Macaca fascicularis: one gene and its partners. The protein of the gene in region 1 interacts with the protein of each later gene in a pairwise test. Links are inferred from orthologs where the notes say so. Each region holds a gene or a part of one and is shown in the gene's direction. Other genes may lie near its edges.

Region 1 (5,866 bases):
GCTCTCCTCCCACTTTAGCCTCCCAAATAACTGGGACTGTAAGCTTTTACTATAGGTGTGTGCCACCACGCCTGACAAGTTTAGATTTTTTTTTCTTTTTTCTTTTTTTTTTTTTTTTTGTGTGTGTGTGTGTGTGTGTGTGTGTCACCTAGGCTGGAGTGCAGTGGCATGATGGTGGCTCACTGCCGCCTTGACCTCCAGGGCTCAAGGGATTCTTCCACCTAAGCCTCCCGAGTAGCTGGAACTACAGGCACACTACCATTCCCGGCTAATTTTTGTATTTTTTGTAGAGATGATGTTTCACCATGTTACCCAGGCTGGTCTCAAACTCCTGGGCTCAAACGATATGCATGCCTCAGCATCCCAATATGGTGGGATTACAGGCATGAGCCACTGTACCCAGCCCAGATTTGTTTTTAAGTGTATTTTTCTTTTTTAATTTTTTTTTTGTTTTTGAGACAGAGCCTGGCTCTGTCACCCAGGCTGGAGTGCAGTGGCATGATCTTGGCTAATTGCAACCTCCACCTCTGAGGTTCAAGTGATTCTCCCGCCTCAGCCTCCCAAGTAGCTGGGATTACAGGCACCCGCCACCATGCCCGGCTAATTTTTGTGTTTTTAGTAGAGACAGGGTTTTGCCATGTTAGCCATGGCGAACAGTTAGCTGGTCTCAAACTCCTGACCTCAAGTGATCCACCCGCCTCGGCCTCCCAGAGTGTTGGGATTACAGGTGTGAGCCACCTGCCCGGTCTTAAATGTATTTTTCTTAGCATAGCCCAATGAAACTTTGTATTTTTGTGTCAGCTTTTAAAAAAAGAAGAAAGTCTAGGGAAAATGGAGCAAGAATTGGAGGCACGAACCAGAGAACTTAGTCGTACCCAGGAGGAGTTGATGAACTCCAACCAGATGTCATCAGACTTAAGCCAGAAGCTAGAAGAATTGCAGAGACACTACTCAACGCTGGAAGAGCAGAGGTTCTTGCTTGGTCTGTGGGGCCCTTGGGAAGAGGTGTTAGTGTAGTTCTGGCTATAGCCTGCTCACCTTTCCCCGTTGTTCATTACACCATTTTCTGATTCCAGTGCTGGCAAAGGCTTCTGGACACATACTTACCTGCCTAGGACTTAGGCCCCACCCTACCTCCAACCCACTTTCCCCTTCAGCTGCTGAAACTCAGGACAGTTCCAGCCCTGCTGAGCAATTCAATGTGGTTTTAGTTTGTAAGGTATTATAGACTAAGGAGAGGCAGGTCAGGATTTCTTTCTTAAACTAGGATGGACTTTTTCTCCTTGGGCTCCTGCTTCAGAGAGAGCTGAGGCTTTTCCCATTGAAAACTGCATGTGGCTGATGATGCTTGTAGCCCTGACATAGAAAGAACCATTTGTATTTTTCCTACAGAAGACTGTATATTAGATGAGATATCCAAATTTGTTCATTGTCTGCTTTCTTTTGATGAAGAGATCATGTGATAGCTTCAAAAACAGGTGCAGAAAGTAAGATCACAACCCTGGAACAAAAGGAACAAGAGCTCCAAGCACTCATTCAGCAGCTTTCCATTGATTTGCAAAAGGTAAGTAGAGTATGAGGAGAAGACCTGGATTTCTAAGATTCATAAAAACTAGTTCTTTCAGATATTTCTGCCTAAGAGTGACTACTGAACATATATTTCTCATGCAGTCCACATGGCTCCATTTCTTATTCTAGCCAGGCTGCACTCAGATGGAAATGGCCATACAATTGCTTAGCAGAAGTAGTCAGTATTTTCCCATCAGGAATTCTTATACCATTTGGTCAACTCAAATATGTCTCTTTTTTTTTCTTTTTTTTTAAGACGGAGTCTTGCTCTTACTGCTCAGGGATTACAGGCGCCCGCCACTACACCTGGCTAATTTTTGTATTTTTAGTAAAGACGGGGTTTTACCATGTTGGCCAGGCTGGTCTCAAACTCCTGACCTCGTGATCCACCCACCTCGGCCTCCCAAAGTGCTGAGATTACAGGCATGAGCCACTGTACCTGGCCTGACTCAAATATATCTTTAAGCACATAATGGACCTTGAGCATGAAAAATATAACAATAGTGGCTGACATGACCAGGGCTGTACCTTTGACATACTTGGCTGTAATCCAGTTTGTTCTATGGCACATAATCAAATGATGTCATTACAATTTGTTTTTTCATTTCATTGACATACATTTGTTTTCTTTCTACATTAGGGCTGTGCTAAACTCTGAGAATATAAAGATGAAGAATAATATTACTGAATATAAAGTAGTGTTTCTTAGGCCCAGCACTGTGACTCAAGCCTGTAGTCCTAGCACTTTGGTAGATCAAGGCAGGAGGATCACATGAGGTCCTCCTCTTGACCCCATCTCTACCAAAAAAAAAAAAAATTAGCCAGTGTGGTATGTGCACCTGTAGTTCCAGCCGTTTGGGATCATGAGGTGGGAGGATCGCTTAAGCCCAGGAATTCAAGGCTGCAGTGGGCTAGGAACATATCACAGCACTCCAGCCCAGGCAACAGAGCAAGACTGTCTTTAAATATAAAAATAAGGCTGGGTGTGGTGGCATGTGCCTGTAATTCCAGCTACTTGGGAGGCTGAGCAGGAGTTTGAGTTAAACCTGGGAGGTGGAAGTTGCAAGTCAGCTGAGATTGCACCACTGCGTTGCAGCCTGTCTAGGTGACAGAGAGAGACTCTGTCTCAAAAAAATAATAATAAATAAATAGAAATAAAATAAAGTAGTATTTCCCAATGGCATATTTCTTATTGGCATTTTGAGTAGAACAACTTGTATTGTATGATCGTCCATTGCATTGCAGGACATTTAGCATTCCTGGCCTCTGGGTTCTGAATGCCAATAGCATCCTTTAGTCACTGACATCCAGCCCTTCCCCTCACATCACAGAACCACCCCCCTGTTGGGCAGTGCCATCCACCCTACCCTCATCTTTTGAGAAATGCTGATCTCAAGTGAGACAGAGCCTTAGAGCATAATTACAGTACAGTAAGATTTTGTCAATAGAGGTCTGTATACCCCTTCTAGCTAAGTATTATCATACTTACAGATATCTAAGTGGAAACTAAGAGAGGTTATTGACCTTGTTCACAATTATACAGTAAGTGACAGAGTTGGATTCTAACCCAAGTCTTATTCCAAAACTCATGCTTATTCTATTGCACTTTGCTGCCTCACAATAAGGAGCACCCAGTAAATATATATATGAATGAATGACTGTGATACAAGCTTTCTACCCTCAACGAACTAAAAATCTCAGTACAGATGTTGTTTTCCTTCAGAGGCTTACAGTTTCATTATAGAACTCAAACCTATTGTAATCACAAGAAAAGAAATGCTCAAACAAGAAGTCTCATGTAAATGAACTAGATTTTTCTTTTCCTTTTTTTTTGAGACACGGTCTTGCTCTTTCACCCAGGCTGGAGTGCAGTGGCATGAACGTCTCACTGTAGCCTCAGCCTCCCAGGCTGAAGTGATCCTTCCACCTCAGCCTCCCAAGTAGCTGGGACTACAGACACACACCACTACAACAGGCTAATTTTTATTATTATTATTATTTGTAGAGATGGGGTTTTGCTACGTTGCCCAGGCTAGTCTCAAACTCCTGGGCTCAAGCAGTCCACCCGCCTCAGCCTCCCAAAGTGCTGGGATTACAGAGGGGAACCACCACACTCAACCCTAGATTTTTCAAATACAAAATATATGCCATAGGGGAAGTACATTCCAGCCCAGGAGTCAAGGAAATCTTCCTAGAGGAACTGGAATGTCAAGGATCAGGAGGACAACAGGAGGCAGAAAAGGCAGAAGGTTAGAGAGTACATTTGGGGTCGTGGAAGAAGGGGGACAACAGACACACAACTTTGGTTTTTGTATTTTGTTTTTTTCTGAGACAGGGTTTCACTTTGTCACCCAGGCTGGAGTGCAGTGGCGTGATGTTGGCTCACTGCAACCTCCACCTCCTGGGCTCAAGCAATCCTTCCGTCTCAGCCTCCTGAATAGTAGGGACTACAGGCACATGTAACCATGCCCAGCTAATTTTTGTATTTTTATTAGAGACAGGATTTTACCATGTTGGCCAGGCTGGACTTGAACTCCTGGCCTCAAGTGATCTGCCTACCTTGGCCCTCAAAGTGCTGGGATTATAGGCACCTGGCCACAACTTTGATATTCAAGGGACCCTTTGATGTCAATTAGAACCATCTGTTGTTTTTATAATTGGAAAAATGGGGCTCAGGGAAGTCCAGAGTGTGGTCACAGTAAGTTTCTTCATTCATGCTAGAAAGATTAGTTAAGCCTTACTATGTGCTGGGCTCTGTGCTGGGTGTTCATAATATTGTGGTGAGCAAAATAGATACAGTTCTTGCCTTTGTAATGCTTATAGTCTAGAAGGGAAGTCAGACATTAATCAGTAATCACATATATAATTACTAACTGTGATGAGTGTTCCGAAAGAAAACTACGAGATGTTGTGAGATCCTATTAAAAGATATCAGATCAGATCCAGTCTTGGAGCTGTAGAACACTTAAGGAAGTAACACTTGATGCAGTGCTCAGGCTGGAGAGAAAGGGATAATGAGAGAGAATTTCAGGCAGGGAACAGCATGAACAAAAACTCTGAGGCAAATAAAAGTATTAGCACATTCAAGGAACTAGAAGAAAGCCAGTGACATACAGAATAAGAGAGAATAACAGATTACTCTGGCCATTAGGAGACTGAGAGGGTCTTCCACTTAGGAAGCTTTTGCAGTTGTTCGACCATAAGATGATGGAGGCTTTGACAAGTGTGGTGGTGAAGATAATAGTGGGTAGACAAATGTAAGAAATATTGACAGACTTACTAATATAACAGATATGGGAGGAGAGGAAGACAAAAGTCTGTATTTTTATGGGTGATTTATTGGCTTCTGGCTTGGGCAACAGATGGGCTGGTATTGTGTGAAGATTGTTAATTTGGAATTCACTTTTTTCTTGTCTTTACTGAGTATATATAAAATCATATTTATAAAATATGAGTACGATAGAAAGTATAACAAGGCAATGAGCCCTCTGAGCTATCCCTCAGGTTAAGAAAAAGAACAATGTGTTTATCTTTGAGGTTCCCTCTGTGCCCTTCACTATTCCATCCCATTCCTTTTTCCTTTGGAAGTAAGTACTATCCAGAGATTGCTTCATTGTCTGCTTTGCTTTCTAATGTTGTCAGTTTTATCCCTAAACAATATCTTCTTTAGTTTTCCATGCTTATTAATGTTGTATAAATGAAGTCATTCTGGCTTTTTTTGCTGCATCTACTGTGAGAATGAAGACCATTCTCAGCAATCAGACTGTCGACATTCCAGAAACTGTTGACATTACTCTGAAGGGACGCACAGTTATCGTGAAGGGCCCCAGAGGAACCCTGCGGAGGGACTTCAATCACATCAATGTAGAACTCAGTCTTCTTGGAAAGAAAAAAAAGAGGCTTTGGGTTGACAAATGGTGGGGTAACAGAAAGGAACTGGCTACCATTCGGACTCTTTGTAGTCATGTACAGAACATGATCAAGGGTGTTACACTGGGCTTCCGTTACAAGATGAGGTCTGTGTATGCTCACTTCCCCATCAACGTCGTTATCCAGGAGCATGGGTCTCTTGTTGAAATCCGAAATTTCTTGGGTGAAAAATACATCCGCAGGGTTCGGATGAGACCAGGTGTTGCTTGTTCAGTATCTCAAGCCCAGAAAGATGAATTAATCCTTGAAGGAAATGACATTGAACTTGTTTCAAATTCAGTGGCTTTGATTCAGCAAGCTACAACAGTTAAAAACAAGGATATCAGGAAATTTTTGGATGGTATCTATGTCTCTGAAAAAGGAACTG
Region 2 (5,866 bases), on another chromosome or scaffold:
GAAACACGTTACTCTTCTTGTCACTGACCTTTTGATGACACAGTCATTTGATAATGTGGGATTGACCGCTCTGAGTCAGGGGTTCTCAGACTTAGAAGCCTACAGGTGCCAGGCACACCACAGAAGCAAGTAAGATGAGCCAGATGCTAGACAATAAAGAGTGGTGGGGACTGTGGCACAGAGGTGAGGCCTTAGCCTGTCTAGAAGGTAAATCTTTATTCAGCTCTAGGTGATTGTTGCTTATGAGGATGTGGGCTTAGTATTGCCTGATCCTCTGATTTTCCCAAAGTAGCCAGATGTGTAGATACTTTTAGAGAAAAAAATGACAAGTCTTAACCAGTATGAGAAAAACATAATGACAACTCCAAAACCAACTTCTGTGGGCTGGATTCCACTACCATCATGCTAAGAAAGTTTACAAATTTGCGTTGGGCCGCATTCAAAGCCGTCCTGGGCTGCGGGTTGGACAAGCTTGCCGTAGCTCCTCCTGTAGCTACGGCAGGTACATTTTGCAGACCCTGATTATAAGAGATACCTTTGCTTTGAGAGTTAGGACCTGCTTATTTATCTTCATTTTAAAGTGAGAAACAAGATATTGTGTACTTAAAAAATCGTTTACATTGCATTTCTAAGTTTTACATGAGGTACATTTAAACTAGTATAGTGCCTGCCCATAGTAGATGCTCAATACATGTTGTTTCCTTTATTTTTGTTTCTCCCTCCCGTCTGGTGCACCTGCCTTCTGAACCTCATTATTTGTAAGAGGGTAAATGGGGTCAAGGAGTTATCATTAGATAGTTTTGGTGTCATGCAGGTGCATCCTTTCCTTCCTTCATATAGAACCTGGAAATAAATCTAAGACAGTGAATGGTGACATCTGTTAATGGTCTTAGCTGTCTCACCTGTTGTAAAAAGTGGTTTGCTGCATCTGACTGTATCCTTCTGGTTCAGGAGTTTCAGAAGGAGCTGAGCCAGTGGAGGAAAGACCCAAGTGGAAGCAAGAAGAAGCCCAAATACTCTTACAAGACCGTGGAAGAGTTGAAGGCCAAGGGCAGGATTAGCAAGAAGCTCACTGCTCCCCAGAAGGAGCTTTCTCAAGTCAAGGTATGGGGACCTTTGGACACTTGGTACAGGAGCCACACCCCAGAATTAATCACTGAACATGTTCTAGGGTTTTTTGGATCTTCTAGGTAGGCTTTTTTTTTTTTCTTATACCTTGCTTTTCTCACTTATTTTATAGGAGTGTAATGAATACTATTAATATCATGTTCCTATTCATTACACTCCCATATTTAGTAATAGTTACCAAGTTCCTTCTCTGCCAGGCACTCTTCACGGCACTACACTGGTAAACCAAATGATGTTCCTGTGTTTCTGGAGCTTACATCAGTGAATTCAGTAACATTCTTATTATTAAAAACTCACTGTGAAGATTTATAATGAGTGCAGAATTCTAGAGGGTGGCTGTCCTATATTGCTTGATCCTACCTCCGTTGTTAGGCATTTAGCTTTTATCTGGTTTAGTTTGGATTTTTGACTGGTTAGTTTGTATATAAAACTTCGTCTTTGTTTGAGACATTTTTTTAAGGATAGAGATGTACATGTGCAATCACCATGTTAAATACAAAAGTACTTAAGGCATTCAAATACTCAGAAGGTTGTATTAACTCTGTCTGACCAGGAGGGCAGGAGAGAGTTCCCAGGGCTCCTTAGTCAGCATTGAGTATTTTCTTTTTTTAAGATACATTCAATTTTCACTCACTGTTACGTGCATATAGTGTATTACGTTTTCCATTACTTTTCCAAGTAGTCAAAGAACAATGGTGACAGTTGCCTGTTGTCATTTGCTGTAGGATATATAGTGTGTCATAGACCTCAAAGCCTTTAGTGGGGTTCTCAAACGTGTGCTGTTATATTATCTGGACGACCTGATAAGAAATACGGGCGTCTAGGTGCCTCCCAGGAATTTTGAGTCTAAACTGAACCTCAAGACTTTTTTTTTTTTTCCTCCTCCAGTGATTCTAATGCTGGTGGTTCATGGATCACACACTTACTTAAAAAGTGGTGATGAATCATTCTGCTTCAGAAGTGCAGTCCATATTCACATTTCCTGTTTTCCTAAAATATTGGAATTAGCTCATTGCCTAGGTTGCCTTTGTTCAATTAGCCTTTTGTATGTTTTATTTTGTTTTAAAATTAAAAGCCTGGGCGCGGTGGCTCACACCTGTAATTCCAGCACTTTGGGAGGCCAAGGCGGATGGATCAGGAGGTCAGGAGATCGAGACCTTCCTGGCTAACACAGTGAAACCCCGTCTCTACTAAAAATACAAAAAATTAGCCGGGCGTGGTGGCGGGCGCCTGTAGTCCCAGCTATTCGGGAGGCTGAGGCAGGAGAATGGCATGAACCCGGGAGGCGGAGCTTGCAGTGAGCTGAGATCGTGCCACTGTACTCCAGCCTGGGCACCAGAGCAAGACTGCATCTCAAAAAATAAAGTTTAAAAAATTAAATTAAAAAAACAACTGTTATTATAATAGCAGTGTGTAGTACATTTTAGAAAGTTAGGAAATGGGGAGAAATATAGGAAATATTTTCCATCCTTCCAAGATTACCAAATGTTAACATCTTGTTATACATCCTAGATCTTTTTCTATGCTTATGTGCATTTTTTAAATCAAAATGTGATATTCTGATTGTGTTACCTTCTTTGATCAGTACAGCTTCTACCTTTCCATTAAAATAAATTTTCACATCTACTAATACTCAGTCCCTATTTAAATTTCATGTTTCCCTAAAAAGTCTTCTCCATCTGGCTTGCTCAAAGTGATCCAACCTAGAACTGCTTGCTGCATCTGATTTTGTCCCTGGAGTCTCCTTTAGGCTAGGACAGTGCGGATCCCACTTTACAACACTGCCCTTCTCCAGCTCTGTTGAATAATGTGGTTTCTACACACTTCCCTGTCATGGGGCCTTCCCCTGGGCTTAGCTGTGTGTTTAACAGTGCCGCAGTGGTGTTAACCTTCGTCCTTCTACGTTTTCCAAGGTCATAGACATGACAGGCCGGGAGCAAAAGGTCTACTACAGCTACAGTCAGATCAGCCACAAGCACAACGTTCCCGATGATGGGCTGCCGCTGCAGTCCCAACAGCTGCCACAGTCTGGCAAAGAGGCCAAGGCCCCAGGCTTTGCGCTGCCCGAGCTGGAGCACAACCTGCAGCTGCTCATTGACCTCACGGAGCAGGAGATCATCCAGAATGACCGGCAGCTACAGTATGAGCGGGACATGGTGGTCAACCTCTTCCACGAGCTGGAGAAGATGACCGAGGTCCTGGACCATGAGGAGCGGGTCATCTCCAACCTCAGCAAGGTCCTGGAGATGGTGGAGGAGTGCGAGCGGCGGATGCAGCCCGACTGCAGCAACCCCCTCACCCTGGACGAGTGTGCCCGCATCTTCGAAACCCTGCAGGACAAGTACTATGAGGAGTACAGGATGTCCGACCGTGTGGACCTCGCCGTGGCCATCGTCTATCCACTCATGAAGGAGTACTTCAAGGAGTGGGATCCCCTCAAAGTGAGTTGTTGGGAAAATCAACTTATCCCTGCCTCTTGGTTGGGCTTACCCTTGCTTGATGAGTTGGTCCAGTGGGCAGGGAGGGCTGGAAAGCCTGCTGCCCCTCAGCTACTCTGCCTTTCTCCTCAGGACTGCACTTACGGCACCGAGATAATCTCCAAGTGGAAAAGCCTCCTGGAGAATGACCAGCTCTTGTCTCACGGCGGACAGGACCTCTCGGCAGATGCCTTTCACAGGTACCACAGGGCAGGGCTCTGTGCTCCAGCTCCTTTCTGCTGGGGGGTTGGGAAGGACTGCTGAAGGTGGGGGAAGGCAGCAGTGCTAGCCTTGATTAATTCTCTGCTCATGCTGATACCGCTTTAGGAATTTAAATTCATTTGGCCATGAATTTATTTTATTTTTTATTTTATTTTTTTTGAAATGTTTTATTTCCACAGGGTTTTGGGGAACAAGTAGTATTTGGTTACATGAGTAAGTTCTTTGGTGGTGATTCGTGAGATTTTGGTGTACCCATCTCCTGAGCAGTATACATTGAACCCAATTTGTAGTCTTTTTTTTGTGAGACGGAGTTTTACTCTTTCGCCACGCTAGAGTGCAGTGGTGTGATCTCAGCTCACTACAACCTCCAGCTGCCTGGTTCAAGCAATTCTGCCTCAGCCTCCCGAGTAGCTGGGATCACAGGCACGCACCACCACACCCAGCTAATGTTTGTATTTTTAGTAGAGACAGGGTTTCACCATGTTGGCCAGGATGATCTCCATCCCCTGATCTCGTGATCCACCCGCCTTGGCCTCCCAAAGTGCTGGGATTACAGGCGTGAGCCACCGTGCCTGGCTTAATTTGTAGTCTTTTATCCCGCACCCCGTTCACCCTTTCCCCAAGTCCCCAAAGTCCATTGTGTCATTCTTACGCCTTTGCATCCTCATAGCTTAGCTTCCGCTTATGAGTGAAAACACAAGATGTTTGGTTTTCCATTCTTGAGTTACTTCACTTAGAATAGTAGTCTCCAATTCCAACCAGGTTGCTGCGAATGCCATTAATTCATTCCTTTTTATGGCTGAGTCATATTCCATTATATATATATGTACCAGTTTCTTTATCTACTTGTTGATTGGTGGGCATTTGGGTTGGTTCCACATTTTTGCAGTTGTGAATTGTGCTACTGTAAACTTGTGTGAGCAAATATCTTTTTCATAAAATGACTTCTTTTGTGTTTTTTTTTTTGAGATGAAGTCTCGCTTTGTCGCCAGGCTGGAGTACAGTGGCGTGATCTTGGCTCACTGCAACCTCTGCCTCCGGGGTTCAAGCAATTCTCCTGCCTCAGCCTCCCAAGTAGCTGGGACTACGGGCATGCACCACCACGCCCAGCTAACTTTTGTATTTTTAGTAGACACAGGGTTTCACCATGATGGCCAGGATAGTCTCAATCTCTTGACCTCATGATCCGCCTGCCTTGGCCTCCCAAAGTGCTGGGTTTACAGGCGTGAGCCACCGCACCCAGCCATGACTTCTTTTCTTCTGGGTAGATACCCAGTAGTGGGATTGCTGGATCAAATGGTGGTTGTACTTTTAGTTTTCTAAGGAATCTCCACACTGTTTTCCATAGTGGTTGTACAATTACATTTGGCCATGAATTCAGCTGACACTTGTCAAATGTCTGTTGAATATCATGCTTGTGCTAGGTGCTGGGCTTACCCTAGTACAGCAGACAGCCTCTGTCTTTAGTACAGCAGAAAAGGCAGATGGGAAATAAGGTAGTGAACAAATAAAGGCAGGATGCACACCAGGTACAGCGATAGAAAACTGCAGGAGCGACCTCCTTGGAATGGGGGTTAGGACAGAGGTCTTAGAGGAGGTGACATTGAAACTGTGATCAGAGGGTGAGAGATGTCAGCTCATGAATAGAAGCCTATAGGTGGGAAAGCACTTGATACCTAGGAAGAGACCCTTGTGACCCTAAAGCAGCTCTGCCAGGTGGGCGGGCACTGCCTACGAGACCAAGGCCTCAGTTCGAGAGGAGAGTCACGAGAACAAGGAAGAAGCAGGCTCAGGTCTGGCCAGCATGGTGACTGGCCTGATGGTTTCCTCTGATCGGATTTCCATGCTGTTGCATTTTTATTTCTGATTCTAGAGAGGTGGGCGGTGGTGGTGTTCTTTGAAACCAATCAGTGTAATTAACCAGCCTGTCCTCTGCCTTTCTCCCATAGGTTGATATGGGAAGTCTGGATGCCTTTTGTTCGAAATATTGTCACTCAGTGGCAGCCAAGGAACTGTGACCCGATGGTGGACTTTTTGGA
Region 3 (6,355 bases), on another chromosome or scaffold:
TGTTGGCCAAGCTGGTCTCGAACTCTTGACCTCAGGTTATCCACCCGCCTTGGCCTCCCAAAGTGCTGGGATTACAGGCATGAGTCACCGTACCCTGCCCACATGCATTTTTGATGTTTTCATTAAAGGCACTCATAGAGAGTTGAGAGTTGAGTTTTAATGAGCTGTATTAGTTTATCGTATTTGGATTTTGTCAGTGACAAAACACCAGCTCTCATAAATACCAGAATGCCCAGTAGCTACCAATCTTAGAATGTGAGCACCAACTGAAACTATACTAGTTGGAGGCTTGGGCCATAACCCATCCAATAGTCCAATAATCAAGTTCTGATTTATAAACTGTGTAATGGATATCTGATTGCTACAAATATATCAGAGGACCAACTTTTTCTACCAATTCATAGTATTCAGTTTATCCTAAAATAAGTTACTTCACCTCACAACATCTGAAAGGCAAGCAGTTCTGTCTATTAGCAGAAAGAAAATAATCTTATTAATAGAGGATCATGAACACAATTGGGAACTTTTAACATCAAATCAATGTTTAGTGGGCACAGAATTAACTTCAGATGGAGGTTGAATTTATCTCCTCTCAGGTTCCCTTGATCTTTTTTCTTCTGACCTCTGTCTTAGGTTCCCACCTCCTCCATCAAGAAGGTTGCTGACTGATTAGAAAGCAGTGGCTCTTTTGAGTAGGTAGAATTAGGTCTACACAGATATTCTTCAGAGCAGAGTATCTAACAAACCTTTGTCTTCCTAATGTTGAGCAATTATTATAGCTTAAGTTACACCTTTTACTAACAAAGTTCCTGAATTTCACTTCCTGTCAGCCTGAGTGAAGAACATAAGAAGAAGAAGAAGAGAAAAACATACATTATTTTTAGGAAAATAAAAATGCCTTGATAAGATGGGGACTTGAGAGCAAGGAGAGCATGCTGCCCTAAAGCCACAAATGCATGGGGCTGCATTAGCTAGTTCTGTGCACAGTACTTCAACTAACCTGGACTTTGGATTGTCAGAACAAGAAAAGAATGTTAATTTAATCAGCAGTTCCCAGGGCCTCTCAGAAATCCAGAGAGATATAGGTAACATTTTTAGGGCTCCGGGGATGAAGAAGAAGAAGAAAGAGGAAGAGGAAGAAGATGAGGAAAATACCAAGACATTATTACAAAAATTGTGATATGTTTTTAATTATTTATATTTAACAAATTCATGTCTCATATGCAAACACAACAGAATATATGGGCTACTAGGAGTATAAGATTTGTATCAAGTACCCGCTGGGCACTACAGATGGACTGGTCCCATGCTGAACCCAAGTTTAAAGTTATGTCATTAAAAACATTTTTTTTTCTTTCCAAGTCCTGTGAGTACATCTCTGGAACTGTGTAAAACAACTTGTGTAAAACACCAAGTGTTTTCCTCAAGTTCCTGGCAGCTCCCAGTAAACATCCTTTCCTTAATTTAAACACAAAGGAACCCCCACCTGTCTAGATATCCTACCTAAAGCCAGAGCTTTATTTATTTTTTTATTTTTTCCCCTCAGTTTAGACAGATCTCACTCTGTCACTCAGGCTGGAGTGCAGTGGTGTGAACTTGGCTCACTGCAACCTCTGCCTCCTGGGTAGCTGGGATTACAGGCACCCGCCACATCCCGTTAGTTTTTGTATTTTTAGTAGAGATGGAAGTTTCACCATGTTGGCCAGGCTGGTCTTGAACTCCTGAGCTCAAGTGATCTGCCTGCCTCAGCCTCCCAAAGAGCTGGGATTGCAGGCGTGTGCCACCGTGCCTGGCCTAAAGCCAGAGCTTCTGTCACTTAAGGCAGTGGATTTTTAAGATGGAATTGGGGGGCCTACAGTCCCATTTAAGCATCTAATGAAAGCTCTGGTTCTTAACTTCAGAAAAAAAAAAAATGTACACCTACAACAAAATTATGTGTACACTTGGGGACTGGGGAGCAAGATACTCCATAAAGTCTATCCAAATATGTTGTATGGGCTAAGTGTGGTGGCTCATGCCTGTAATCCCAGCACTTTGGGAGACTGAAGTGGGAGGATCACTTGAGCCCAGGAATTTGAAACCAGCCTAGGCAACATGTGAGACCCCTGTCTCTACAAAAAAAATTTAAAAAAAATTATCTGGGTATGATGGCACATGCATCTGTGATCCCAGCTACTTGGGACGCTTATACAGGAGGATTGCTTGAGCCTTGGAGGTGGAGGCTGCAGTGAGCAGTGTTTGCACCACTTCACTCCAGCCGGTGCGACAGAGTAAGACCCTGTCTCAAAACAAAAAAATATATATAGTCTATGGATTCCAGGTTAAGAATGCCTCCTCTGAATAAAGGTTCTCCGTTCCAGGAGTTTGTTATTTCTCCATGAAGACAGGACTCGGTTTGAAGGGTGCCAGAGGCTCTGAAACAATCGGTTGATTCAGTGGTGGTGATGGAGGGAAAAGTTGACAGGAATGTCCACACCAGCACCACACAGCGAACGGGAAAGGCAGTGCTTGGGACAGAGGCTCCAGGCTCTGGGGCGTCAGTACCCACGACCATCCCCTGTGTTAGGCCTCTGCATTGCCTGGCAACCAAGCTACCTCGTCCGCACAAGCGTAACAAGTCCTTGTTCGCCTCTGCCTCTTCCGGCGGGCACTGGAAACCGCCGGGCCTGAAGCGGGCGCGCTTCCTGCCTGGAGGAGGCTGCGGGTCTCAATCCGTGGCGCCTCGCCAGCTACAGGACGACGCGGGCTCTTGAGGGGCAGAGCAGCACATCATGCAGGTGAGGGTAGGGACTCGCCGGGCGACCCTGGAACACCCAGTGGGTCTCCAGCTGGGCCCGAAGCCAAGAGACACAAATGGGGAGGGCGAACACAGGAATTAGGCTCTAACATTTGTTCTTGAAAAGTGCTAAATTTTGCGTGCTTCTCTGTCTAGTTTTGAGAAAAATCCTCTAGGAAAACGCCATTTTTTCAGCCTTTAAGACTTGTGTCTGTCGCTGGAGAAAACGTTAAAAGAGTTGCTGCGTATTGTATTTCACACCAGAATCATAGAAATCTTACTGCTGCATACTATTTTTGACTTAAGAAATAGACCAGCAACGTTAGCCCAAGTGTAATTCAATTTGTCCTCCTCCACTACCTTAAAAAATGATAAGAACAGAAAACCTACTAGTTTTTGTAGAATAGAAAGCCTTGAAATAAACCCACACATCTTTTCAAAAAGTTTTTAACAAGAGTGCTAAGACCATTAAATGGGCAACAGTTAATTTTTTTTTTCAATAAATTGTGCTGGGTAAACTGGATATCCACATGCAAAAGAATGAAGTTGGAACCTTATCTTAGACTTTGTGAATCTGAAATATCTGAAACAGGTTTCAGTTGACTTAGAAAGTTTATTTTGCCAAGGTTAAGGATGTACCCATGACACAGCCTTAAGAGGTCCTGATGACATGCGTCCAACGTGGTTGGAGTACAGCTTGCATTTATATATGCTACAGGAGTGCACCACCACGCCTGGCCACTTTTTGTATTTTTAGTAGACACAGGGTTTCAACACGTTCGCCAGGCTAGTCTCGGACTCCTGACCTCAAAAGATCTGCCTGCTTTGGCCTCTCAAAGTGCTGGGATTACAGGCTTGAGTTGGGACCCAACCTATAATCTTGGGATAATGGGACAAAGAGCTGGGACTACAATGCCTGGCTAGCAAAGCTTACTTTTAATACACTCTGCTTTTCCTGGTTTCCTCCCCATCACTTGCTTCCCACATACCCTTTTTTTTTTTTCCAGCTAAACATGTTATTTAAGTCTGAATTCTAAGCAACCTCTTTGAGATACACTCATTTTCCCTGGTATCTCCAATGTATCCATGAAGTATACATACTAATAAACAGGATTTTTCTCTTGTTAATCTGTCTTTTATTACAGGAGTCTGTCCCAGCTAAGAAGTCAGAATGATAGAAAATTATTTGAGGTGGAACCAAAGGGTTTGGTTCATCAAAGGATGGGAGATGAGTAGGAGGGTGAACTGGCGGTAAACGCATGTCTAGGAGAATTTAGGGAAGGATATCTTGGTGCTTAGTGGAACAGAGGAGAAAATGAAAAGGATTAAACCCCGTCAAAAAACATTTCGGCCCAAGACAGCTCTCATATGGATTTGTAACCTGAGTCGTATTGTTGGGTAGTCCAGCAACCTTAAACTGTGAATTCGTTATATATTATAGTGCCCTCAAATACCTAGAAGAAAAAAAATATAAATCCTCTATAGAGGAAGATGTGTTTAGTGTAGGCTTTAAGGAATTCCCATCAATAAGTTTTCGAGGACAGAAAGCAGAAATCAGTGAAAGGTAACCAAGCACACAAGGAAATAAGCCACCGTGAGACCATGAACCAAGAAAAACAGAGTTACAGAGATTTTTAGATAACAGAATGGTCAGAAATAGGTTATAAAACAACCAGACTGGCCAGGCACAGTGCCTGTAATCCCAGCACTCTGGGAGGCCGAGGCGGGTGGATCACAAGTCAGGAGATCGAGACCATCCTGGCTAACACGGTGAAACCCTGTCTCTACTAAAAAAAAATACAAAAAATTAGCTGGGCATGGTGGCGGGCACCTGTAGTCCCAGCTACTCGGGAGGCTGAGGCAGGAGAATGTCATGAACCCAGGAGGTGGAGCTTGCAGTGAGCCGCCACTGCACTCCAGCCTGGGCGACAGAGCGAGACTCTGTCTCAAAAAACAACAACAACAATAACAACAAAAACAACTGTACTTATAAATACTGAAAACTATAAAACAGACAAGAGTAGAATAGAAAGCCTTGAAATAAACCCACACATCTTTTCAAAAAATTTTTAACAAGAGTGCTAAGACCATTAAGTGGGCAATAGTTAATTTTTTTTCAATAAATGGTGCTGGGTAAACTGGAACCTTATCTTAGACTTTGTGAATCTGAAATATCTGAAACAGGTTTCAGTTGACTTAGAAAGTTTATTTTGCCAACGTTAAGGATGTACCCGTGACACAGTGTTAAGAGGTCCTGATGACATGCGTCCAATGTGGTTGGGGTACAGCTTGCATTTATATATGTTAGGGAGATGGGAGACATCATTCTCAATATGTGTAAGATGTACATTGATTTGGTATAGTAAGGCAGGACAAGTTGAAGAGGGGGTTTCAGGTCAGAAGTAGATAAGAGAGTCCTTGATTCTTTTGAGTCCTTGATTAGCTTTTCACTGAATACACAATTTAGTCTGGCTCAGCGAATCTGCATTTTTACATAAACAACAGAGCAGAGGAAGCAGTCACATATGCATTTGTCTCAGGTGAGTCTGAGAGGGATGATTTTCAGTTCCAGTCTGTCCTTTGTCCACAAGGAATTTCCTTTTGGGCAAATTGTGAGGGAGGTGTGTAGCTTTTTGTCTTTGTAGCTATTTTATTTAGGAATAAAATGAGAGGCAGATTTGCTTGACATAGTTCCCAACTTGACTTTTCCCTTGGCTTACTGATTTGGGGATCCTAAGATTTATTTTTCTTTCATAACTGTATACAAAAATTTACTCAAACTACATCAAAGTCCTATAGCTAAAGGTAGAAATCTCTTAAAAGGAAACATAAGATAGACTCATGACATTGAGTTTGACAGTAATTTCTTGGTTATGACACCAAAAGCACAGGTAACAAAAGAAATAAATAAATTGTACTTTACCAAATTTAAAGCTTTTTTTTTTTTTTGCTTCAGAGGACATTATCAAGAGAGTGAAAAGATAAGTAGTGAGGTGTGGTGGCTCAAACCTGTAATCCCAGCACTTTGGGAGGCTGAGGCAGGTGGATCATTGAGGTCAGGAGTTTGAGACCAACCTGGCCAACATGGTGAAACCCAATCTCTACTAAAAATACAAAAATTAGCTGGGTGTAGTGGTGGGCATCTGTAATCCTAGCTACTCAGGAGGCTGAGGTAGGAGAATCGTTTAAACCCAGGAAACGGAATTCGCAATGAGCCGAGATTGCTCCACTGTACTCCATCCTGGGCAATAGACCGAGACTTCATCTCAAAAAAAAAAAAAAAAAAAGACAACCCACAGAATAGAAAATATTGGCTGATCATATATTTGATGAGAGAATAATATCCAGAAAATATAAAGACTTCCTAAAATTCAACAACAAAAAGACAACCCAATATAAAAATGGGCAAAAGATTTTTCTATAGTTTGTGTCGGCTCCAAAATTCAGGTGTTTCCAATGTGATTGTATTAGGAGGTGGGGCCCTTAAGAGGTGATTAGGCCATTCGTCTCCTTCCTTGTAAATGAGATTAGATACCCTTATAAAAGGGCTTGTTAGAGAGAGTTTGTCCCTTTTTTTTT
Region 4 (6,388 bases), on another chromosome or scaffold:
ATACCAGAGATGTGGGTTCCATGGTCAGCTGCACACTAAGTGTTTACCTTTACATTTGGATCACCTTGTAGTCTTTAATTATTGGTCCCTGAGGCCAAGTCCACAGCTTGCCTTCTAGTCACTTGCCTGCCCATCAGTGGTGGTGGATGTGTTAGCTGGTAGATTTGGAATCAGTCACCAGTCTTTCTGTACTGTCTTGGTTAGGTCTGTATAAGTAGAGGCAGCTTAGCCCTGAGACCCAGAGAGCTGCTATCCTTTTTCTCCTTGCGGGAGGAAATAAAACTGGGGAACACAATGTCCTTCCATAGCATAGGAAGAATAAAATAAAAGTCTCCTTTCCACCAGTGTTGACTTGTGTGTGTTGCATGAAACATCTTCCTGTGGGAGTGGTACTGGGTCTCCATTTTCAGCTAGAGTAACCTTTGAAGTGTTTGAGCTAGGTCTCTATAAAAGAATGCATGGGACAGGCTGCCATGAGAGTCATTCTTTCATGACCTTTTCAGTGTCAAAACTGGGGCAGTGTTACTTTAATACTCAACCATTTGCACCATCATCTGTCAGGAGGTACTGTCTATAGCAAAAGGAGAACACGTCCTGTGGGTCCCTAGTTCGTCCTTTGGAAGACATGGCTAATGGCTCAGGGATTCTTACTGCCTCTGCATGGAAAGGCTAGACAACTCCTGTATTTATTATTATTAAGACAGGGTCTTGCCCTGTTGCCCAGGCTGAGTTGCAGTGTTGTGATTACAGCTCACTGCAGCTTGGAATTCCTGGGCTCAAGCAATCCTCCCACCTCTGCCTGAGTAGGTGGGACTACAGGCTGGAGCCACTGCTCCTGGCACCAATTCTGTATATCTCAACACTCATGATTCCCCAAAGAGAAAGAAAAACCATACTTTTATTCCAGCATCCGGTATGCCTTGTGTATACCTGTATACAAGTTTTAAAGTTGTTGGTTTCATCTCATTAAATAATAGTTAAGAGTCCTCTGAGGCAGCAGGAGGATGTGGAGAGTAGCACAGGTCAGGGTCAGGTGACCTGAGTTCTATGAAGGGTAGCAGCAATAGCAACTATTATTGGGTGCTTACATGTACCAGGCGCTATGCTAAGTGCTTTACATGTATGACTTCACTTCATGGGGCAAGGATACTCATCAGTAGTCTCATTTTACAAATGAGGAAACCGAGGCTCAAAGAGGATAAGTCACTTAGCCAAAATGTCCCAGCCAGGATTCTTTTGGGTGAGCTCCCCAAAATCTGTCTTCTAACTCCTACCCTATACTCCCTCCACTGGGAGCTGTGCGACTTTGAGCAAGAAGCTTCATCCCATTGGGCCTCGGTTTACCATTGGAAAGGACTTGTGGGCGAGGTTGAATGAGCGCAGCAGATGGCCTGTGGTTATTTAGAGCAGTGCTTCCCTGGTGGTTTGATACCACAGCGATCATAGAAATACTTGTGTGGCCCGGTGAAATGGAGGCGGAAACAGTTTCTACCTTCACAGGGCCTGACTGGAGGGGGCTGAGGACGATGCGGAGGTTTCCTGTATTAAAACAGACTACCCCCCCTTCCCAACGCACAACCCCGAGCACGTGGCCGTGGGTTCCCAAGCGCCTCTCCTCCCAGGGCCATGGGCATGACCACTGAAAAGCGGGTTAGGCCGGGGAGTTCAGAACCCGGAGTGAATCGAAACTACCCCAGGTAGATGGCAGCGAAGAAAATTCTGTTCTTAGGGGAACGCAATCTTCGGACACCAGAAGTTCCCCTATGATGCTATTCTGTGGCAGCCTCGCACTTGAGCCGGATGAGAATTGTAAAAACCCAGGTTGGGCGACAGGACGGCGCGTCTTCCCGGCTCCTTTCCAGAGTTTAGACGGAGCCATGCAGACTCAGCTGGCCTTTGAGTGTAGGTGGGCAGGCCCGAGGCGCCCTCTCGAGACCCCTTCAACCTCCCGGGGGCAGCAACACCGTGTCGGCTATGAATGGCGTCTCTGGAAAACTCAGGCTTGGAACAGGTAACCCCGCGGTTTCCGCAGGCCAGAAATTAGCCCCCGCAACCGAAGGACGCGCAGGCTGGGAGTGGCGGCGGGGCCGCCAGTGGCGGACCTCCACTGAGGGCGGCGGGACCCGACCGCAGGGGCTGGGCCCTGAGGCCACTATGGGGTGCGCTAGGCTAAGGTCTCCTGGGGGCAGAAGCCAGTGCGATTGTAGCTGGCCAGCAGGCTGGCCGGCCTGAGGCCTGGCAGAGACCCGAGACCCCGACCCTTCCCACGCGGACTCCGTGATCCCTCTCCCAGCAGCCGCCCACCTGGGGCCCTGAGCCAATAAGAGCTCGAGGTATATATGACTCACCGTGCCTGGGCCAATCAACTTGACGCGCGCTTTTCGCCAGCACCTCGCGCGATAACTTGGCGTCCTCGGCCTTCACAATAAAAACTCTCCGCCGGAAAACGACCTCTCCCCGCCCACCGCGCCGACACCGGAAGCGAGGCGTGTCTGCGAGATCACTCCGCGCTCCGGCGGCGAAGGAAAGAACGGACTCTGATCATAGAAGTAAAGTAGTGCACCTCTCTCGTTTCGTGAGGTCATAAGAACAAACACCTTTTCTCGTCACAGCTACGCGCTGGGCATAAACGGTTGGGGCGTCAAAGGGAGGGAAACGAGCGGGCGGGAGGAGATGGTCACGTGGCCGTGGCGGAAGGATGCGTCGGTGCTGCGTCCCCTTAGAGACGAAGTCTATAAAGGGCCGGCGGGCGGCTGTTGCGGCCATTTCTACTTCGTCCGCCCACAAATGTAGTTTGGTTCGCACGTGTGCGCCTTCCCTCCTCCCCGCCCGCAGGGTCCACGGCCACCATGGCGTATTAGGGGCAGCAGTGCCTGCGGCAGCATTGGCCTTTGCAGCGGCGGCAGCAGCACCAGGCTCTGCAGCGGCACCCCCCCCCAGCGGCTTAAGCCATGGCGTGAGTACCAGGGCGGGTCGTCCAGCTGTGCTCCCTGGGCCGGCGCAGGTTTTGGGTTGGTGGGGTGCGGCCTGGGGCCCAGGGCGGTGCCGCCAAGGAGGAAGCGATTTTACGAGCGCCCGGGACGCGTGGTCTTTGCTTGGGTGTCCCCGAGACGCTCGCGTGCCCGGGATCGGGAAGGCGCATTCTGGTGCCAGGACTGCTTCCACAGGGGCCCTGCCGCCCTCGGACCCCGAATCCCCCAAGGGTCCCAGGGGTCTCGGCTTTCCCCCCCCGCGAAACGTGGCAAGAACCAAGATGGCGGCGGCAGGGCGGCGCCGCGGGCGTGAGTCAAGGGCGGGCGGTGGGCGGGGCGCGGCCGCCCTGGCCGTATTTGGACGCGGGGACGGAGCGCCTTCCTCTTGGTGGCCGGTGGAAGAATCGCCTGGTCTCCGTGAGCGTCCATTTTGTGGAACCTGAGCCGCAGCAGGGAGGGGCGGATGCAACTGCCCCGTTGCCGACTCTGTAGATGGCTGGACTAGAGAAGTCCCGCCTCGTAAGTGGAAAGATGAAATTCTCAGACCAGCTAACCTCTAATGGGAGTTGGCTTCTGATTCCCATTCAGGCTTCTCACGGCATTCAGCAGCAGCGTTGCTGTAACCGACAAAGACATCTTCGAATTAAGCACATTCCTCGATTCCAGCAAAGCACCGCAACATGACCGAAATGAGCTTCCTGAGCAGCGAGGTGTTGGTGGGGGACTTGATGTCCCCCTTCGACCAGTCGGGTTTGGGGGCTGAAGAAAGCCTAGGTCTCTTAGATGACTACCTGGAGGTGGCCAAGCACTTCAAACCTCATGGGTTCTCCAGCGACAAGGCTAAGGCGGGCTCCTCCGAATGGCTGGCTGTGGATGGGTTGGTCAGTCCCTCCAACAACGGCAAGGGTGAGTGGGCCACCACCACATCGTCTGGGTGGGATCTAGGGTTAGGGGCCTGTTATCTTTGTATCTGACTCACTTGGCCCTGTCATTCAAATCTTTTGCAGAGGATGCCTTCTCCGGGACAGATTGGATGTTGGAGAAAATGGATTTGAAGGAGTTCGACTTTGATGCCCTGTTGGGTATAGATGACCTGGAAACCATGCCAGATGACCTTTTGACCACGTTGGATGACACGTGTGATCTCTTTGCCCCCCTAGTCCAGGAGACTAACAAGGAGCCCCCCCAGACGGTGAACCCAATTGGCCATCTCCCAGAAAGTTTAACAAAACCCGACCAGGTTGCCCCCTTCACCTTCTTGCAACCTCTTCCCCTTTCCCCAGGGGTCCTGTCCTCCACTCCAGATCATTCCTTTAGTTTAGAGCTGGGCAGTGAAGTGGATATCACTGAAGGAGATAGGAAGCCAGATGCCACTGCTTATGTTGCCATGATCCCTCCGTGCATAAAGGAGGAAGACACCCCCTCAGATAATGATAGTGGCATCTGTATGAGCCCGGAGTCCTATCTGGGCTCTCCTCAGCATAGCCCGTCTACCAGGGGCTCTCCAAATAGGAGCCTCCCATCTCCAGGTGTTCTCTGTGGCTCTGCCCGCCCCAAACCTTACGACCCTCCTGGAGAGAAGATGGTAGAAGCAAAAGTAAAGGGTGAGAAACTGGATAAGAAGCTGAAAAAAATGGAGCAAAACAAGACAGCAGCCACTAGGTACCGCCAGAAGAAGAGGGCGGAGCAGGAGGCCCTCACTGGCGAGTGCAAAGAGCTGGAAAAGAAGAATGAGGCTTTAAAAGAGAGGGCGGATTCCCTGGCCAAGGAGATCCAGTACCTGAAAGATTTGATAGAAGAGGTCCGCAAGGCAAGGGGGAAGAAAAGGGTCCCCTAGTTGAGGGTAGTCAGGAGCGTCAGTGTGCTTGTACATAGAGTCTCTGCTGTTGCTGTGTGTTGGAATAAATTATTTTGTAGGGAAAGTACTTGTGTGGATTCTTTTTCTGGCAAATTAGCCGAGTGAGGCGCCACCCACCCATCCCAAACTGGTCATAACATTCCTTGTGAGATCTGGGGAGGAGGGCAGTCCAGGACTGAAGATGGGTACCCAGAGTGGGAACTGCTCGCCCTGCTAGGTGTAAGCCACGATGCCTGATGACTCATGGGGCCATACAGCCAGATAGTTGGCCAACTGTAGCAAGTTGGGTCCTTTACCCAGAGGTGAGTTCGCTGGTTGTGTAGGGAGGAGGCTGGAGCTCTCTGGGAGGTTGGGAGGGAGGGACAGCCTGGGCCTCCACCTATTTATTCAAGAGGGCTTCATGCCAACAGCTGTCGCCTGAAACCCTGGATAAGCTTGCACAGTCCTTGAGATAAGCACACAAGATTAGTTTTCACTTGTTACCCTGAGTTCTGTAGAAGCGTGTTCCTGAAGAAAGAAATGGCTCCTTTTCGGAATTGATGCTGAAGCAGGACAGGAGCTGAGGGTTGGCCTCCATTTCTCCTTATGGGGTGGAAGGATGACATCCTGCACAGGTTCTGGCTAGAGCTGGGCACAAAGGCGACAGTTCCTGTGAAGGCTGTTGTGCCTGTTGCTACCTAAATAGAAGGCCTGGCATCATGCTAGGATGGATCAGCGCCTAGAAACCACGCCTCCTCACCGCAGCTTCTTCCTGGCGGGGAGACCTCGCCTTTCCAGGCAGGCGATGTCTTTTGTGTTGCGGATGAGTGCTTGAATGCAAGGATCAGCGTATCCTGGGTAGGTCTGTCTTTCCTCTTGTGTCCTTCAGGATCACAGTTTTCCTTCTGTGGAAGGTGGTGTAGACTGGGTGTGCCCGGGGAATGGCTGGGAGGACAGTGAGGGTGAGTGCGCCCAGGCACTGCTGTAACTGAGCACAGTACGTGTGTTCACCCCGTCCCCGAAGCACACCCAGGAGGCAGACGCCACACTCAGGAGGATTTTTTTTTTTTTTTTTTTTTTTTTTTTTTGAGACAGGGTCTCTCCCTGTTGACCAGGCTAGAGTGCAATGGTGCAATCTCGGCTCACCACAACCTCCACCTCCTGGATTCAAACGATTCTCATGCCTCAGCCTCCCGAGTAGCTGGGATTACAGGTGCTCGCCACCATGCCCAGCTAATTTTTGTATTTTTAGTAGAGACGGGGTTTCACCATGTTGGCCAGGCTAGTCTCGAACTCCTGACTTCCTGATCCACCCACCTTGGCCTCCCCAAAGTGCTAGGATTACAAGCATGAGCCACCGCGCCTGGCCTTTTTTTTTTTTTTTTTTTTTTTTTTTTTTTACTTTTTAGAGATTGAGCCTATTCCCCAGGCTGGAGTGCAATGGTGCAATCTTGGCTCACTGCAACCCCTGCCTCCCAGTTTCAAGCGATTCTCCTGCCTCAGCCTCCCGAGTAGCTGGCATTACAGACGACTGCCACCATGCCCAGCTAATTTTTGTATTTTTAGTGGGGATGGGGTT
Region 5 (5,866 bases), on another chromosome or scaffold:
CATGGGAAGTCAGTGTTGGGGTCCATCCCTTCTGTGTTTCTTCTTTACTTCTCCTCTCCCAGTATCCATTTGAGGCCCTCTTCCGCAGCCAGCACTACGCCCTCCTAGACAATTCCTGCCGCGAATACCTTTTCATCTGTGAATTTTTTGTTGTGTCTGGCCCGGCTGCACATGACCTGTTCCATGCTGTCATGGGCCGTACACTCAGCATGACCCTGGTAAGATTCCTATTTCCTGTACTATTCAACACCTTTGTCCCCAGTCTTCATCAGCAGCATAGTGGGGTCATGACTCTGGTAGAACTGAAATCAATCAGGATCCTCATTCTAAAATGTCTAAGCCTTGGCTGGGCATGGTAGCGCACGCCCATAATCCCAGCATTTTGGGAGTCTGAGGCAGTAGGATTGCCTGAGCTCAGGAGTTTGAGACCAGCCTGGCCTGTCTATGAAAAATAAAAAATTAGCCAGCTGTGTGTTGATGTATGCCTGTGGTCGTAGCTACTTGAGATGCTGAGGTGGAAGGATTGCTTGAGCCCAGGAGGTCAAGGCTGCAGTGAGCCATGCACTCCAGAGTGAGACCTATCTCTTAAAACAAAAAAAAGAAAAGCTGGGCACAGTGGCTCACACCTGTAATCCCAGCATTTTGGGAGGCTGAGGCGGGAGGATCTGTGAGTTCGAGACCAGCCTGACCAACATGGTGAAACCCCATCTCCACTAAAAATACAAAATTAGTCGGGCGTGCGCAGCCTGTAATCCTAGCTAATCAGGAGGCCGAGGCAGGAGAATTGCTTGAACCTAGGAGGAGGAGGTTGCAGTGAGCCAAGACTGTGCCACTGCACTCCAGCCTGGGTGACAGAGCAAGACTCCATCTCAAAAAAAAAAAAGTCTAAGCCTTGTTACTTAGACTTGTCACAGTGTTACTTCCCATGAAATCCTCAGAGTGTAGGGTCCCTGAGACTCCCCCTGCTGCTGCCCCACAATCAGAATCAGGCAATAGCACGTGAAAACTGAGGGTCCTCCAAACCCCTGACCCAAGCTCAGCCTGGAACTCTGCTGTGATAGGCTTGTGATCGTAGATCCTGCTGCAGCCAGGTGCAGTGGTTTACACCTGTAATCCCGGTACTTTGGGAGACCAAGGCAGGAAGATTGCTTGAGGCCAGGAGTTCAAGACCAGCCTGGGCAACATGGCAAGACCTTGTCTTGACAAAAAATTTAAAAATAAGCCAGGCATGGTGGTACACACCCATGGTCCCAGCTACTTGGCAGGCTGAGGTGGGAACATCACTTGAGCCCAGATGTTTGAGGCTGCAGTGAACTGTGATTGTACCATTGCAATCTAGCCTAGGTGACAAAGCAAGAACCTGTCTCTAAAGTCAAAAACGCCGGGCGCAGTGGCTCACACCTGTAATCCCAGCACTTTAGGAGGCTGAGGTGGGCGGATCACCTGAGGTCAGGAGTTCGAGACCAGCTTGGCCAACATGGTGAAACCCCATCTTTACTAAAAATACAAAAATTAGTCAGGCGTGGTGGCAGGCGCCTGTAATTCCAGCTACTCAGGAGTCTAAGGCAGGAGAATCGCTTGAACCTGGGAGGCAGGCGGAGGTTGCAGTGAGCTGCGATTGCGCCACTGCATTCCAGCTTAGGCGACAAGGGCGACAAGAGCGAAACTCCATCTCAAAAAAACAACAACAAAAAAAGCCAAAAACATAGATCCTGGTGGGTAAGGCAGTAGGACCACCCGGGTGGCAGTGGACAGGAAAGCAGGGGGCAGTTGCATTTTACATCTCTCCCTTCTGTCCTATCCAGTGCATCATCCCCAAAGAAACACATGCGTTTGTTCATAGTCACTGAGGAAAACAAACTGACATTCTCTTTTAATCCTCTGCTTGTTCCCCAATCACATAGAAACACCTGGAGTCCTATCTCGCTGACTGCTACGATGCCATTGCTGTTTTTCTTTGTATCCACATTGTTCTCCGGTTCCGTAACATTGCAGCAAAGAGGGATGTTCCTGCTCTGGACAGGTCACTGAATTCTGGTCCTTGATGCCCAACAGGCCACAAACTCTTGGTCTTGCATGACTCTGCCCTGACCTTAGACTTCTACTGACCTGGTATCATTAACCTTTATTCCCATTGATTTGCTCCAGAGGCAGTACTGCTGCTTTTTGACTCACCTTTCTCCAACCACTGCCCCCCCATCCCCACAACTAACTGTTGACCATTAAACTGAATGGTGCCCCACTCCCCCCCATCCCTCTCCAACATTCCTTGCCGGCTGACCTCAGATTCTGATTAAGCCCACAGGTACTGGGAACAGGTGCTTGCCTTGCTATGGCCACGGTTTGAGCTGATCCTGGAGATGAATGTCCAGAGCGTCCGAAGCACTGACCCCCAGCGCCTAGGGGGGTTGGATACTCGGCCCCACTATGTGAGGGAGGGCAAGGGTAACAAAGGGTTCTTGAAAGGCAGGGCTCTAAGCATCATTGTGGGGGTTGGCCACGGTCACAGTTGTGTCATGGGCCACGCTCTGAGCAGGCATTCTGGGAGGGTGATAAAACTCATGGTGAGTGGTGCACTGTGGGTAGGAGGGACTGGAGGTAGAGTCACATCACATGGTGGCGGGTTGACCAAGGGAGTTGGGAGGTGGTGGTGGTTGGGCCAGGAGGTGGGTGTGATTTTCCTTCCCACTCTGTCCTAGATCACACGCCGCTACGCAGAGTTCTCCTCCGCTCTTGTCAGCATCAACCAGACAATTCCCAATGAACGGACCATGCAGTTGCTGGGACAGCTGCAGGTAAGGGTCAGACAGGAGAGACTTACCAGCAGCAGGGCTGCTGCCAGTGGGTGGAGGCTGAGGAGGAGCCAGAGGGGGGCCTGATGGCCTTGCTTTCTGGTGTCACCTCTTCTCTGCCTTTTCAGGTGGAGGTGGAGAATTTTGTCCTTCGAGTGGCAGCCGAGTTCTCCTCAAGGAAGGAGCAGCTTGTGTTTCTGATCAACAACTATGACATGATGCTGGGTGTGCTGATGGTAATAGGTGCTCCTTCTCCTTGTCTTCCTACCCAGAAAATTGGGTTTCCCCCACTGCTTTGTTAGCTCTGTGAGGGCAGAGACGATGCCTGTCTTGTTCAGCGTTTTACTCTTGGAGTCTGGCACAGTGTCCAGCTTAGTACAATAAGTGTGGAATGAAGGGGACATCCTGAAGTGAAGGACTGCTTTCCCCAAACTTGACATTTCCCTTTGTCTTCCCTTAGGAGCGGGCTGCAGATGACAGCAAAGAGGTTGAGAGCTTCCAGCAGCTGCTCAATGCTCGGACACAGGTAGGGGTGTGGGGAAAAGGGAAGGGACAGCTTTGTGTGCTGTTTTCAGCTCCTGTGTGTTTGTGTGTGTGTGTGTGTGTGTAGGGAGTGGCATAATGGACCTCAGGTACATGGAATTACTGTAACTCTTGATCCACAACATACTGTCATTATTGGTCTACTTTATTTTATTTTGTCTTTGGTTTTGCTTTTTTTTTTTTTTTTCCTTTTTTGAGGCAGAGTCTCGCTGTGTCACCCAGGCTGCAGTGCAGTGGCATGAACATGGCTTACTGCAGCCTCGACAGCCTGGGCTTAAGCGATCCTCCCACCTTAGCCCCTGGGTAGCTGGGACCACAGGCATGAGCCACCACGCCTAGCTAATTTTCAATTTTTTTTTTTTTTTTGTTTTTTTTTTGAGACGGAGTCTCGCTCTGTCGCCCAGGCTGGAGTGCAGTGGCGCAATCTCGGCTCACTGCAAGCTCCGCCTCCTGGGTTCACGCCATTCTCCTGCCTCAGCCTCCTGAGTAGCTGGGACTACAGGCGCCCGCCACCGCGCCCGGCTAATTTTTTGTATTTTTAGTAGAGACGGGGTTTCACCGTGGTCTCGATCTCCTGACCTTGTGATCCGCCCGCCTCGGCCTCCCAAAGTGCTGGGATTACAGGCGTGAGCCACCGCGCCCGGCCATTTTCTATTTTTAGAATGAATTTTATTTTTTTCTTTATCCATCCCCTCAAGCACTTATCCTTTGTGTTATAAACAATCCAGTTACACTCTAAGTTATTTTAAAATGTACAATTAAGTTATAATTGACTATAGTCACCCTGTTGTGCTGTCAAATAGTAGGTCTTATTAATTCTTCCTATTTTTGTTTGTACCCATTAATCATCCCCAGCCTTCCACTAGCCTTCCCAGCCTCTGGTAGCCATCCTACTCTCTTCGTACATGAGTACATGAGTTCAATTGTTTTGATTTTTAGATCCCACAAATAAGTGAGAACACATGACATTTGTCTTTCTGTGCCTGGCTTACTTCACTTAATATAATGATCTCCAATTCTATGCATGTTGTTGCAAATGACTGAGTCTCATTATTTTTTATGGCTGAATAGTGCTCCATTGTGTACATGTCCCACGTTTTCTTTACCCATTCATCTGCTGATGGACACTTAGGTTGCTTCCAAATCTTAGCTATTGTGAACAATACTGCAACAAACATGGGAGTGCAGATACCTCTTCAATGTATTGATGTCCTTTCTTTTGGGTATATATCCAGCAGTGGGATTGCTGGATCCTATGGTAGCTCTACTTTTAGTTTTCTGAGCAACCTTCAAACTGTTCTCCAAAGTGTTTGTACTAATTTACATTCCCACCAACAGTGTATAAGGGTTCCCTTTTCTCCACATCCTTGCCAGCATTGTTATTGCCTGTCTTTCGGATAAAAGCCATTCTGAGTAGAGTGAGATGAGATCTCACTGTAGTTTTAATTTGCATTTCTTTGATGATAGTGATGGTGAGCCCCTTTTCATATATGCCTGTTTGCCATTTGTATTCTTTTGAAAAATGTCTATTCAAATCTTTTGCCCATTTTTTAATAGGATTATTAGACTTTGTCATGTAGTGTTGTTTGAGCCCCTTATATATGCTGGTTATGAATCCCTTGGCAGATGGGTAGTTTGCAAATATTCGTTGTCTCTTCACTTTGTTATTTCTTTCGCTGTGTGTGCAGAAGCTTTTTTTTTTTTTTTTGACACGGAGTTTAGCTCTTGTTGCCCAGGCTGGAGTGCGATGGTGCGATCTTGGCTCACCGCAACCTCCGCCTCCTAGGTTCAAGCAATTTTCCTGCCTCAGCGTCCCAAGTAGCTGGGATTACAGGTATGTGCCACCATGCCTGGCTAATTTTGTATTTTTAGTAGGGATGGGGTTTCACCATGTTGGTCAGGCTGGTCTCAAACTCCTGACCTCAGGTGATCCGCCCACCTCCATCTCCCGAAGTGCTGGGATTACAGTGTGAGCCACCGTGCCCAGCTGTGCAGAAGCTTTTTAATTTGATGTGATCCCATTTGGCCATTTTTGCTTTGGTTGCCTGTGCTTGTGGGGTATGGCTCAAGAAATTTTTGCCCAGACCAATGTCTTGGAGATTTTCCCCAGTGTTTTCTTGTAGTAGTTTCATAGTTTGGTCTTAGATTTAAGTTTTTAATCCATTTGAATTGGTTTTCATATGTGGCGAGAGATAGGGGTATAGTTTCATTCTTCTGTGTAATGGATAGCCAGTTTTCCCAGCACCATTTATTGAAGAGACTATCTCTTTCTTTTTTTTTCCTCAGACGGAGTCTTGCTCTGTCACCTAGGCTGGAGTGCAGTGGTGCAGTATTGGCTTACTGCAACCTCCGCCTCCTTGGTTCAAGTGATTCTCCTGCCTCAGCCTCCTGAATAGTTGGGATTACAGGTGCCTGCCACCACGCCGGGCTAGTTTTTGTATTTTTAGTAGAGGTGGGGTTTCACCATGTTGGCCAGGCTTGTCTTGAACTCCTGACTTCAAGTGATCCTCCCGCCTCGGCCTCCCAAGTGC

Evidence for each region.
Region 2: the proteins of GOLGA1 (region 1) and TFIP11 interact in binary tests that used the Homo sapiens proteins (3 or more experiments, as listed by UniProt). The two-hybrid records come from large-scale screens. The link is inferred for Macaca fascicularis from reciprocal best matches to the Homo sapiens genes GOLGA1 and TFIP11.
Region 3: the proteins of GOLGA1 (region 1) and PDCL2 interact in a two-hybrid assay, tested with the Homo sapiens proteins (2 studies listed by BioGRID). The two-hybrid records come from large-scale screens. The link is inferred for Macaca fascicularis from reciprocal best matches to the Homo sapiens genes GOLGA1 and PDCL2.
Region 4: the proteins of GOLGA1 (region 1) and ATF4 interact in binary tests that used the Homo sapiens proteins (3 or more experiments, as listed by UniProt). The two-hybrid records come from large-scale screens. The link is inferred for Macaca fascicularis from reciprocal best matches to the Homo sapiens genes GOLGA1 and ATF4.
Region 5: the proteins of GOLGA1 (region 1) and VPS52 interact in binary tests that used the Homo sapiens proteins (3 or more experiments, as listed by UniProt). The two-hybrid records come from large-scale screens. The link is inferred for Macaca fascicularis from reciprocal best matches to the Homo sapiens genes GOLGA1 and VPS52.

What each region holds. Positions count from the first base shown.
Region 1 is NC_088389.1:19,138,732-19,144,597, forward strand, and holds part of GOLGA1 (golgin subfamily A member 1), read left to right. Parts: intron 1-801; coding exon 802-971; intron 972-1,452; coding exon 1,453-1,564; intron 1,565-5,306; exon of another isoform or gene 5,307-5,307; coding exon of another isoform or gene 5,308-5,866. Other genes in the region: large ribosomal subunit protein uL6-like, read left to right, coding at 5,308-5,866. UniProt on the Homo sapiens protein: Involved in vesicular trafficking at the Golgi apparatus level. Involved in endosome-to-Golgi trafficking. Mechanistically, captures transport vesicles arriving from endosomes via the protein TBC1D23.
Region 2 is NC_088384.1:25,182,096-25,187,961, forward strand, and holds part of TFIP11 (tuftelin-interacting protein 11), read left to right. Parts: intron 1-951; coding exon 952-1,104; intron 1,105-3,041; coding exon 3,042-3,569; intron 3,570-3,698; coding exon 3,699-3,805; intron 3,806-5,776; coding exon 5,777-5,866. UniProt on the Homo sapiens protein: Involved in pre-mRNA splicing, specifically in spliceosome disassembly during late-stage splicing events. Intron turnover seems to proceed through reactions in two lariat-intron associated complexes termed Intron Large (IL) and Intron Small (IS).
Region 3 is NC_088379.1:78,299,947-78,306,301, forward strand, and holds the start of PDCL2 (phosducin-like protein 2), read left to right. Parts: upstream 1-2,649; 5' UTR 2,650-2,771; coding exon 2,772-2,777; intron 2,778-6,355. UniProt on the Homo sapiens protein: Essential for male fertility, spermiogenesis and acrosome formation.
Region 4 is NC_088384.1:12,123,650-12,130,037, reverse strand, and holds ATF4 (cyclic AMP-dependent transcription factor ATF-4), read left to right. Parts: upstream 1-2,763; 5' UTR 2,764-2,956; intron 2,957-3,560; 5' UTR 3,561-3,652; coding exon 3,653-3,878; intron 3,879-3,979; coding exon 3,980-4,809; 3' UTR 4,810-4,894; downstream 4,895-6,388. UniProt on the Homo sapiens protein: Transcription factor that binds the cAMP response element (CRE) (consensus: 5'-GTGACGT[AC][AG]-3') and displays two biological functions, as regulator of metabolic and redox processes under normal cellular conditions, and as master transcription factor during integrated stress response (ISR).
Region 5 is NC_088378.1:138,437,048-138,442,913, forward strand, and holds part of VPS52 (vacuolar protein sorting-associated protein 52 homolog), read left to right. Parts: intron 1-62; coding exon 63-218; intron 219-1,904; coding exon 1,905-2,023; intron 2,024-2,305; coding exon 2,306-2,429; intron 2,430-2,699; coding exon 2,700-2,795; intron 2,796-2,920; coding exon 2,921-3,028; intron 3,029-3,252; coding exon 3,253-3,318; intron 3,319-5,866. UniProt on the Homo sapiens protein: Acts as a component of the GARP complex that is involved in retrograde transport from early and late endosomes to the trans-Golgi network (TGN).